3 linked regions of the Arabidopsis thaliana genome follow. The protein of the gene in region 1 interacts with the protein of each later gene in a pairwise test. Each region holds a gene or a part of one and is shown in the gene's direction. Other genes may lie near its edges.

The links.
Region 2: the proteins of JAZ10 (region 1) and AT1G01260 interact in binary tests that used the Arabidopsis thaliana proteins (3 or more experiments, as listed by UniProt).
Region 3: the proteins of JAZ10 (region 1) and NINJA interact in binary tests that used the Arabidopsis thaliana proteins (3 or more experiments, as listed by UniProt).

What each region holds. Positions count from the first base shown.
Region 1 is NC_003076.8:4,217,087-4,220,841, forward strand, and holds the start of JAZ10 (jasmonate-zim-domain protein 10), read left to right. Parts: upstream 1-1,741; 5' UTR 1,742-1,914; coding exon 1,915-2,026; intron 2,027-2,103; coding exon 2,104-2,598; coding exon of another isoform or gene 2,599-2,603; exon of another isoform or gene 2,604-2,848; coding exon 2,849-2,910; coding exon of another isoform or gene 2,911-2,953; 3' UTR 2,954-3,376; coding exon of another isoform or gene 3,377-3,416; 3' UTR 3,417-3,755. UniProt on the Arabidopsis thaliana protein: Repressor of jasmonate (JA) responses. Interacts with and suppresses RHD6 and RSL1 transcription factor activities to negatively regulate jasmonate-stimulated root hair development.
Region 2 is NC_003070.9:106,993-110,747, forward strand, and holds the start of AT1G01260 (basic helix-loop-helix (bHLH) DNA-binding superfamily protein), read left to right. Parts: upstream 1-1,953; 5' UTR 1,954-2,338; exon of another isoform or gene 2,339-2,413; 5' UTR 2,414-2,602; coding exon 2,603-3,755.
Region 3 is NC_003075.7:14,265,009-14,268,763, reverse strand, and holds the start of NINJA (Putative interactor of JAZ), read left to right. Parts: upstream 1-1,977; 5' UTR 1,978-2,228; intron 2,229-2,619; exon of another isoform or gene 2,620-2,658; 5' UTR 2,659-2,741; intron 2,742-3,006; 5' UTR 3,007-3,083; coding exon 3,084-3,755. Other genes in the region: AT4G28920 (hypothetical protein (DUF626)), read left to right, coding at 122-349. UniProt on the Arabidopsis thaliana protein: Acts as a transcriptional repressor. Negative regulator of jasmonate responses. Connects the JAZ proteins and the non-JAZ protein TIFY8 with the TOPLESS corepressors.

The sequences.
Region 1 (3,755 bases):
AAATATAGATAATACAGTAATGATGAATCCACTATACATGTTAAATCCAATATAATAAATCCACTATACATTAGTGTTCTCATATTTCGTTTCAAGATTCGATTCAAAAAATTTGAAAATGTTAAATATGTGTTTCTGAGATTAAAGGCCAAAAGAAGGGTAAGGTCGTATATGAAAGGTGGACAGAGGGGCAAATTAGTCAGCTTGAAAAATACATCGACATTAAAAATCGGCAGCACTGACAAAACGTGTGATAACACAAATAAAAATAATCGGAAGAAAAAGAATAAATAAGGCGTATTGACTCTGGAACGTGAGAAGATGAAAGAGAGCGACGAAAACCTCTAAAGACTTATCGAGAAGTGCACCTTAGCCTAGTGAATAATGATATGTATTGACATTAACTACTACTACTACAGCTCCCAACACGTGAAAGACATGCATCTAACTCTTTCACTTTCGGTTGCCAAGAAAAAAAAAAAAAAAAAACTTTCACTTTCGGCATCAAATATATACTACTAAAAAAGTTTTTTATACGTAATTCTTTTTTAATATTTGATTAGTTCAGAATATTAATTAAAAAAATTACTTTTCGTAATCACTACATTTTGTAGTTATATGATTTTTAATTTAAAATAGTAAAAAGGAGAAATGTAACTAATTAAGCTAACATGCGCGCGATAGAATAAGGTGAAGTTTAAATTTGAGCACAAGATAGAAAATTGAGGTCAATTTAATTCGGAAGTGGTTCAAGGTATATTTTCACAAGAAAGAAAAACGTGAGTTCATTGAATCCCTCTATAACTTTACTTGAGAACAATGTAATAATATGTAAATCTGTTAGGAAACGAGCAGCCACATATGCTTTAAACAAGAGAACAAGAAAAAGAGCGGCCACATGTGAAAAAAAAACACCAGCCAAAATGTGAAACTAAGAAAAGAAAAGAAAAACCATCGACATCGTCCAAAGGATCGACCCGTCTTTTCTGGTTTGGCAGAAAACAAACTTCCAAGTTCCGACTTGACCTAGTCTTTATGCATCTGCAGTGGTGTTTTCTTTAAATCTTTTTTTGAATGGATTTGAAAATCTTATTTTTTCTTCTTCTTTCAAAACACTAACTGTGAATCACCACCAACATTTTATTGTTCTAAAATCCCTATTTGTATGTTTTATTGGTTACTTTCCCAAATATGATGAAAGTTTATTGGTGTACTTTAGTTTAGAAATGTAAGAAATTTCAGTTGTATTATTAGGTCAACCAAATATTATTCTTGAATAGTAATGTCAAATTTTGTTTATATTGAAAAATCAATAAGACTGATATCTACTAAATGTGATTTGCTATACTAGTAGAGCTAGTAGTAGCAAGATTAAAATTCATATTAAGAAAAAATGGAAAAGAAAAACATGTTTCGAGAAAAATATACAGATCAGAGACTAGAGTAGAAAACAAATATAATGTCAGAAGAACCCAATGTGACGAACAGTAACAGAAACATGTTACCAAATTTTTGAAGATATATTTTTATAAAACATTACAATGTTCATTGGACTTCCGTTATTTCCGGATATAAAATATCTTCTTTCTGCGTAGCAAGCAATTACATTACATTAGGTATATTAAGAATTTAAACATGTGTTTTGAATCATTAAATTAATTAGATAAGTAAGAGAAGAGGTTGGGAGCCTAATAAAAACAAAACAAAAAGGAAAAAGTGGATAGGTTGCCAATTGTGCCGAAAAGAAAGAGAAAGCATGAACCTCGTGCGTTAAATAAGTATCAGAGACATACTACATTTTAAAAACTCTCACATGAGAAATCAGAATCCGTTATTATTCCTCCATTTATTCATCTCAAAACCCATATCTCTCTGTCTTGATCTCTCTCTCACTTTCTAATAAGATCAAAGAAGATGTCGAAAGCTACCATAGAACTCGATTTCCTCGGACTTGAGAAGAAACAAACCAACAACGCTCCTAAGCCTAAGTTCCAGAAATTTCTCGATCGCCGTCGTAGTTTCCGAGGTTCGTTTGGTTTTTAGTCGCTCTCTCTTTTTTTTTTCTTGCGATAAATCGAATTTATTCATATGGAACTCCTGCAGATATTCAAGGTGCGATTTCGAAAATCGATCCGGAGATTATCAAATCGCTGTTAGCTTCCACTGGAAACAATTCCGATTCATCGGCTAAATCTCGTTCGGTTCCGTCTACTCCGAGGGAAGATCAGCCTCAGATCCCGATTTCTCCGGTCCACGCGTCTCTCGCCAGGTATTTTTGTCTTTCCGGTAAAGTTTTTTTTTTCTTTCTAACTTTTTTGGCGCTACCAGAAAAGACGAAAAAATTTGAAATTCAAATTTTCAAAACATTCATTTTCCTCAGGTCTAGTACCGAACTCGTTTCGGGAACTGTTCCTATGACGATTTTCTACAATGGAAGTGTTTCAGTTTTCCAAGTGTCTCGTAACAAAGCTGGTGAAATTATGAAGGTCGCTAATGAAGCAGCATCTAAGAAAGACGAGTCGTCGATGGAGACAGATCTTTCGGTAATTCTTCCGACCACTCTAAGACCAAAGCTCTTTGGCCAGAATCTAGAAGGAGGTTAGTATAATAAAAATAAAAATCACTTAGTGCTGGATTCTTCTAGAATTTTAGTTACATATTATTGCATGTAGAGATCTAAGAAGAGTTTGTTGTTAGAGAGGAATTGGTTGCTAATTAGTTTGGAATTAGATATCAAAGAGTTAAAGACTATAGTTTATGTCTATACGTATTAATATACGTTATTAATAAAAGTATAAACATGTTGTTTAATTTCTGATAAGAAACTGGTTTATGCGTGTGTATGCAGATCTTCCCATCGCAAGGAGAAAGTCACTGCAACGTTTTCTCGAGAAGCGCAAGGAGAGGTAATGATTCTTCAACAATCCAAGGATTTTTACCCCCAAATAATTAAAGAAAGGTTTTTATTTTTCTCTCTCTCGACCTTTTTTTTACTATAAGTTATTTAAGATAGTAATTATGGGTCCTGCCTCTTTTACTCTCACATACAACTTAAGATTCAACTAGTTTTGTTCAACAACGCACATGCTTATACGTAGATAGATAATGGAGATCAGTAGTAATATCGGTATACGTAGGTTACTATTGTAATGGAACTTTTAAAAAGCGCGTTGACTTTGAGTCTTTGACTCTAGTTCTGTTTGCTACACCGACAAGTTATATTTTTCAAAATGATGAGAAAACGAGGAGAAACACCGGAAAAAAATTTGAACTTTTACTTTTATCAGACCATACGGCCAAAGAAAGATCTGTATATTATATAAGTTATCACAAAACGCGGTTTCACATTTTCTTTTTCGTCTTGTTGTGTTTGCAGATTAGTATCAACATCTCCTTACTATCCGACATCGGCCTAAACGATCTCTTTTTAGATTGGGACATGGACCAAATTTGTCTTTTTCAATCGGAAGACATCCATGTTCGTTTTTGGATTTGGCTTATTTCCAATCTTCTTTTGAAGCCTTCTTCGTCGTTGCTAAATCGTATACTATTCACGACAAACGTTTTTAGGAGATTACGTTACCTACTAAGATTATATATATTGGTTTGTTTTTAAAAATGTCTATTATCTTTATTGTCATTGATAGCTTGATTTAAGAAGCTCTCTCTTATCCCGTGACCTTCTACTTTTGTTTTATTTTTTAGTATATGGTAAAGAAAATTATAACACGCCTCTTTTAGCTTCTCATGAAGCT
Region 2 (3,755 bases), on another chromosome or scaffold:
TGTGTGTGACGTATATATGTATATATATATTTCTTTTTTTATTGAGCTTCGAGATTTGTTTTTTTGTTCATACGATGAGCTTTAAGTTTTGGTCGGTTCTTTTTTCCTTTTCGTGAGTTGTTGGTAGATTAAAGTAGTCATCTTATGATTTGTGTTTTTTTTGGTTGTTACCAAAAAGGTGACGATTTTGTTGACGTTAAACACGGAATTCATTGTAACATGAATATATCAACTATAAACGCCAAAATGGGATTTTCTTTTTTTTATAAGGTAACAAAATTAAGGAAAAACTATTGTTACAACTTCAACTTGCAAGTATGTTTCTGAAGCTAGAGTTTACAGTCACGTGTGAAAATCAAACCAATTTGGATCATTATTGAAGATAAATGAATACTTGATATATTGTTAGTACAAATTTAAACAAAGCGATAGGTTTAGTGGCATTCAGAATAAGTTCACCAAGAACCGGCACTACTTTATCCGGGATTAAATCAACTCTTACAATAGAGTTAACTGGACTAATAGGCCGATTTGTTGTGGTAAAACAAAACCAATGAAATATATGATAAGATTGAGATTTAAGAATTCAAGACTGAGTCCGTTGAACAGCCCATTCTAATTCTGATTGCTAGATAAGGGATAGATGGGGGGCATTATTAAGGTTTGGGAAAAAGGCTGATATCACGTTTGACCTAGCACATATGTGGCCCAACATTACAAGAATTCCATAGAAAACCAGTATTGTAATATCGGCCCATATTATATTCTTGACGACTTGGAGATATTGTAAGTCGACGTCGTTGTTTGACTTAGATGGGAATGGGACCCAAACGTCTCGAATAAAGGATAGTTTAAACACGTGAATCACGCGGTCCCCACTTTTTGCTGTGTGTTTCTCACCGCCATACATATATTATACCCACTCGTGACTTCATTTTCCATAATTACTATATATACTAATTTTTTGTTTTAACTTTATCGTTTGTTAAAGATTTTTCCAAAATAATATAGTCATTGTATATTCATTTTCGCAGAGCCGTAGTTTATATTTTGATGATAATTTTATGACTTAAAGAGTGAAAGCTATAAATATATTACAATTCAATTGTGGTTGCGAGAGAATAAACAAAAAGAGAAAGAGAAAAAAAAAACGTTACAGAAGAGAAAGTGCAGAGCTGTGCAGGCGCATTTGAAAATGAAATTAAAAAGAAAAAGAGATCCAAAGAAAATTAAATGCATCTCACGTTCTTCTCATTCTGGTCATCTCTCCTAAATCCACGTGAACTTCACGTGCTTTTCACGCCCTCCTCTCTATCGACTTGGCGTTTCCTTTCTTCTAAAGGAGTTGAATTGTTTTGTCAACATTTATCAAGTTATTTAGTAATTTGTTTTTTTGTTTTGTTTTTAAAAAAATTATTTACTCCCGTTGTAGAACCACCATCAATAATATTACCAAAAATAATAATCAAGGATCTAAACTAAAATAAGCCTTTTATTTTGTATAATTCTGAAAGCATTTGAAACTTAAGGAACAACTCTTTAGTCTTTGCAACAAAACAAAACACAACAAAAACCGAATATTTAAGCCTAACTTGAATGTGAATTGATTTGGTCAAAATTCCCGGTGCTTGACCACCGGTCTTAGTTGGCATACTTTGCAATTATGTAAACAAAAATTTTAAAAATTGAAAGCAAACTTCTAAATTTGGGTTTGGTTTCCCCTTTAGTTATTTCCATGAACATGAGAATCTAATCTCGAGTTGTCAGATAGTATTTGTTTAGATCTACACCAGTTGAGATAGATCTGTTGCAAATTTTTAATTAATCAAAACCCATAATTGAAAATTATGTCAATCAATTATTGACAAAAACCATGACATAATCTAAGGGGTTTTCAATCGTCGTGTATCAAAGACTCGAGACAAAGACTAAATCGAACCAGACCCGGTTTAAGTTTCTAAACTCAATTGTGTAGTTAAGTAGCTAACCATGGTTCAGATGAAAGTCTTTTTGTTTTGTTTTTTGTTTTGTTTGTTGGGGTTTGGTCTTTTAATAAAAAAGAGCACGAAGAACATGCGTCGGACTCTCTCTCTTCCTTGAATTCATTCAATTGGCCACGGCGACAAAACAGGGAGCCGATACAGCGAAACTGATACATCTTTTTTTATTTTCTGGATTCTTAGGGTTCTTTTTCGGGGAATTTAGGTAATTTGTTTGTCCATTTTGGTGGGGTTTGGGAGATTTAAAATTTGTGTTTTTTTTTGGGTCGGATTCTCAAAAATCTGATTTTGAGGAGAAAATCTCGGTGGAAGAGACTTGATTCAAATCTTCTTTACTGGTAAAAATATATTCTTCTCAATTCCTCATTTTCTGTTGGTGGAGTTTGATTTTTGTCATTTAATTGTTGTTAAAGAAAATAGGGGCAAGATCTGAGATCTCTGGGTGTTCCATGCAAAACTGTTATACTCCGCCGTATATTTGCATCTGGGTCACACTTCTAAACCCTATCATTTGACTTAAGAATCGATTTCTGAAGATCTGGGTTTCTTAAAAGTCTTTCCTTTTTGTTGGGATCCAAACAACAAAAGAAAAGAAAGCAGAGATGAATATTGGTCGCCTAGTGTGGAACGAGGACGATAAAGCGATTGTTGCGTCATTACTGGGCAAACGAGCTCTCGATTACTTGCTTTCCAACTCTGTTTCCAATGCTAATCTCTTGATGACTCTAGGAAGCGACGAGAATCTGCAGAACAAGCTCTCGGATCTCGTCGAGAGACCCAACGCTTCTAATTTCTCTTGGAACTACGCCATTTTCTGGCAGATTTCCAGGTCAAAGGCCGGAGATTTGGTTCTCTGTTGGGGCGATGGATATTGCAGAGAGCCTAAAGAAGGAGAGAAATCAGAGATCGTTAGGATTCTAAGTATGGGAAGAGAAGAAGAAACGCATCAGACTATGAGAAAGAGAGTATTGCAAAAGCTTCATGATTTGTTTGGTGGCTCAGAAGAAGAGAACTGTGCTTTAGGACTAGATAGAGTTACTGACACTGAGATGTTTCTTCTTTCTTCTATGTATTTCTCATTCCCTCGAGGTGAAGGTGGTCCAGGCAAGTGTTTTGCCTCTGCTAAACCTGTTTGGTTATCCGATGTCGTCAATTCGGGTTCTGATTATTGCGTTAGATCGTTTCTTGCTAAATCTGCTGGCATTCAGACTGTTGTTTTGGTTCCTACTGATCTTGGTGTTGTTGAGTTAGGCTCAACTTCATGTTTGCCTGAAAGTGAAGACTCAATCTTGTCTATAAGATCATTGTTTACCAGTAGTTTGCCTCCGGTTAGAGCTGTTGCTTTACCTGTTACTGTAGCTGAAAAGATTGATGATAACAGAACGAAGATATTCGGCAAGGATTTGCACAATTCAGGGTTTCTTCAACATCATCAGCATCACCAACAACAACAACAACAACCACCGCAACAGCAACAGCATAGACAGTTTAGAGAGAAACTCACGGTTAGAAAAATGGATGATAGAGCTCCCAAGAGATTAGATGCTTATCCGAATAATGGGAACAGGTTTATGTTTTCGAACCCAGGCACCAACAACAACACTCTTCTGAGTCCTACTTGGGTTCAACCTGAGAACTACACGAGGCCAATCAACGTGAAGGAAGTTCCAAGCACGGATGAGTTCAAGTTTTTACCTTTGCAGCAATCATCGCAGAGGCTGCTTCCTCCTGCTCAAATGCAGATAGATTTCTCTG
Region 3 (3,755 bases), on another chromosome or scaffold:
CGTGATGTTATGTTTGCCTCCACTTCTCTTCACTAACCAAATGAAATGTATTTTGTATCATATAAAGAGCTCGCTGGTGAGGAGTTTTCTACCATTAAAGATCAAGTATGTAATTGTACAGACTCGGAAGAGCTGTGAAGAGTCGCCGCACTTGAAGCTCAAGGCCAACAACGCTATCTTCTACATGGGTTTCAAGGGCAGTGGTGATCATCATCCGAGTGGTAAGCATGTCGAGTACCAAACAATAGTACGGAAAGCCATGGATGGAAAACCGGGACACATTCGTCTAGAAGTTGACTCTTGGCAAGCCATACCAAGCGATTTAATTGGGGAGGATGAACCGCCCTAGAGTAAACCTGAACCGGAATGCTCATCCTCTGCTGCTCAATAAAAAGTTACCGTAGGGTTGACTTCAAGTCCTTTGATGACGACTATACTGTGAATCTGTGATTACTTGTTCTCAATGCAATAACTACAAGTCTCTTCTTCTTCCTCTTTTTAAAGCTTGTCTTCTACTTGTGATTACTTGTTCTGAATATTGTGATATCAATCAAGACAAGTATGAAATCACCAAGAGCTCTAAGAATATATTTTTTTCTATCATTTTATTCCTTGGATTTTTGAAGAGTAACAAAACATATATGATTTTCATGAGAAGTTGAAGCTGAGAGAATAATATTTAGAGTTGTATTATCGTGAATTGTTGGTAACGATGATGGAGGCTCCTGGGACTAGGGTTGGGAGATGGGAGTTCACTTCTATTGAGAGCAAGTCGGTGAGGAGGAGTTTCTTTGAAACAATGTGATAGGCGGCGGCGATTTTGTATGTGGGAGACGGTGAGGGGTCTTCTTCACCGTCTCACGGTGGATAGCCACAACATCATCAACGTAGACATTAGGTTGAAAAATTCGACATCTTATGGTATTTAATATGACGATTAAAAAGAGAGAAACAAGTCTATTTATCCTTTGAATTGTTAATGATCCTTTTTAATTTATTTTTCAAACTTATAAAACTATGAATAATAGCATCAGAAATAATAAAAAAAAAACCATGTAACTTTATTGCTTATGAGTCAATCAAAGTATATATTTATTCATGTTGTAGCTTTTCAATATTATTAACCATGTTTGTTTTCATTATTTTATTTTTACATAAGTAACATATTTTCATGCCATTAAAATTTTACAACATAAGATAATTTTATTTTATAATATTCAAATTTCCAATTTCCAATTTCCTCTTTAGTCTTAAGTCTTAACATGTCAATTTTTGTATTAAAAAAAAAACATGTCAATTTTTTGTACAAAAAAAATAAAACCATGTCAATTTAGGAGGAAAAAAAACTGGAAAAGCCTGACAAAGAAAAAAAAGCTGGAAATATCAAAAATAAAATGATAACGTCGCCTGAGAGATTCGAACTCTCGCGGGGAAACCCCATGTACTTAGCAGGCACACGCCTTAACCACTCGGCCAAAGCGACTTTATTGATCATGAATCAATCTAAAATATATATATATATAAACCTATCGTTTTGAATTTTTTTTTTTGGCAAACAGCTTTTGATACTATTATATATATATATATATATATTATCCCCACATATCTTTAGCTATGTCTTTTTCGAAGGAAATTTTGAAGTATTAAATTAAGTGACGATTTACACACATATGGAGTAATTAAATCGTTTTAGCATATCTTGTAATGTTGTCTCTCTTATCCAACTATTCTAAAGAAAGTGGTGACTAGAAAATATAGATTATATACTATGTGACCAACTTTTTAGTATATCTTTATAAAAACGCATAAGATATGTCATATGTGTTTCCTCTAAAACTTGTTAAAGAAATGAAAAATCTGTTGGTAGATGTGAATAGTTATGGACTAGTTTGGCTTTAAAAAGAAAATTGGGCCCATGTATTTCTATTCATGCATTGGACATGTACAATGTACAAATATATTCATGATTGCAAACATGTAGTATATATGCTGACTATACGATTGTTATTTATTCAAAAGTTAAGAAAATGCACAAGATACACATGGACGAAATCGAAACTAATTGTACAATAAAATAATAATTATTAGTATTACGAAGGGAAAAGGGAAATGGTCCGTACTAGTTGTCCGAACCCGAAGAAGCCCCAATCGCTGATGCAACTGTCTAGGAGCCGCCACGCTGCGAAGAAGCTCTAGGGTTTGTTCGTCTTCTTCCTCGGTTTCATCAGGTTTTCATCTTCTCGATTCTGATTTCGGCTTCTGTTTTAGCTTTATTCGGCTTATTGTGATTTAATTTGAGCTGATTTGGCATTATTGCTGTGTAGTTAGGGGTCAGGGTTTTAATCTGATCGCGTCTAGGTTATGATTCTTTTGATGATTTCGATCTTTAGAAAGTCAATTGATTTGTTTCTTCGTATGTAGCTCGTTTAGCTGACAGATCTGCATAGTGTCTTATCAGTTACTAGATCTTTGTGCTATCTCTCACTCTGATTTCTGGATTTTGATTCCTTTTTTTTTTTTGTTAGCTGACATACAAGTGTGAGTGATGTGTGTCTTTGCTTTGTTTCCATTTTAGTTTAGTTTCTCAAAATGGAAATGATGAATATTGGGGGTTTTCAGAACCTAAGTTGTAGAAATGGTCTTTTTTTGTTATCACAGAACTCAAAAGGTACTTGGTAGGAGCGAGAAGAAAGTTTCTGGAGAATTGCTGAATTGTTTCTTTCAATGGTTTTGTTTCTAAGGTACTATCCGAGTCCAATGTTTCTGAGAGTTCTGGTAGCTTGTTAATTTGTTATACTGAATACTAGGATTGATTTTGGCAAAGCATGTGATGTTTGTTGCAAGTTCAAGCAGATGTGTTTCTTTTTATAAATTTAGAAGAAGTTTACTTCCGCAGCCATCTATGATTCTCAAAGTTCTTAGCTTTGCGTTTGATTCTTTTTTCTAGAAACCATTGGTTAGCTTTGGATAATGAGTCCTTTTCTGCCCATGATGTATTTTTCTCAGATGGTAATCAAGATTGTTGACGGTGCTCTGAAGATCTGTTGACCTGCTCAGAGTTTGCTTAAAAAGTTTGAGAAAAAATGGACGATGATAATGGGCTCGAGCTCAGCTTGGGTCTTTCTTGTGGAGGATCAACAGGAAAAGCTAAGGGTAACAATAATAATAATGCTGGAAGCTCCTCAGAGAACTACAGGGCAGAAGGAGGCGATAGAAGTGCTAAAGTGATTGATGACTTTAAGAACTTCCTGCATCCAACTTCTCAAAGACCTGCAGAGCCGAGTTCTGGTTCTCAGAGAAGTGATTCGGGTCAACAGCCTCCACAAAATTTCTTCAATGACCTCTCAAAAGCTCCTACAACTGAGGCTGAAGCTTCTACGAAACCTTTGTGGGTGGAGGATGAGTCACGGAAAGAAGCAGGGAACAAAAGAAAGTTCGGGTTCCCGGGGATGAATGATGATAAGAAAAAAGAGAAGGACTCGTCTCATGTTGATATGCATGAGAAGAAGACAAAAGCATCCCATGTTTCAACTGCGACAGATGAAGGATCAACAGCTGAAAACGAAGATGTAGCAGAGTCTGAAGTAGGTGGTGGTTCTTCTTCCAACCACGCAAAGGAGGTGGTTCGTCCTCCTACTGATACAAACATTGTGGACAACTTAACTGGTCAAAGGAGGAGCAACCATGGTGGATCTGGCACTGAAGAGTTTACAATGCGCAACATGAGTTACACCGTACCTTTCACAGTTCATCCG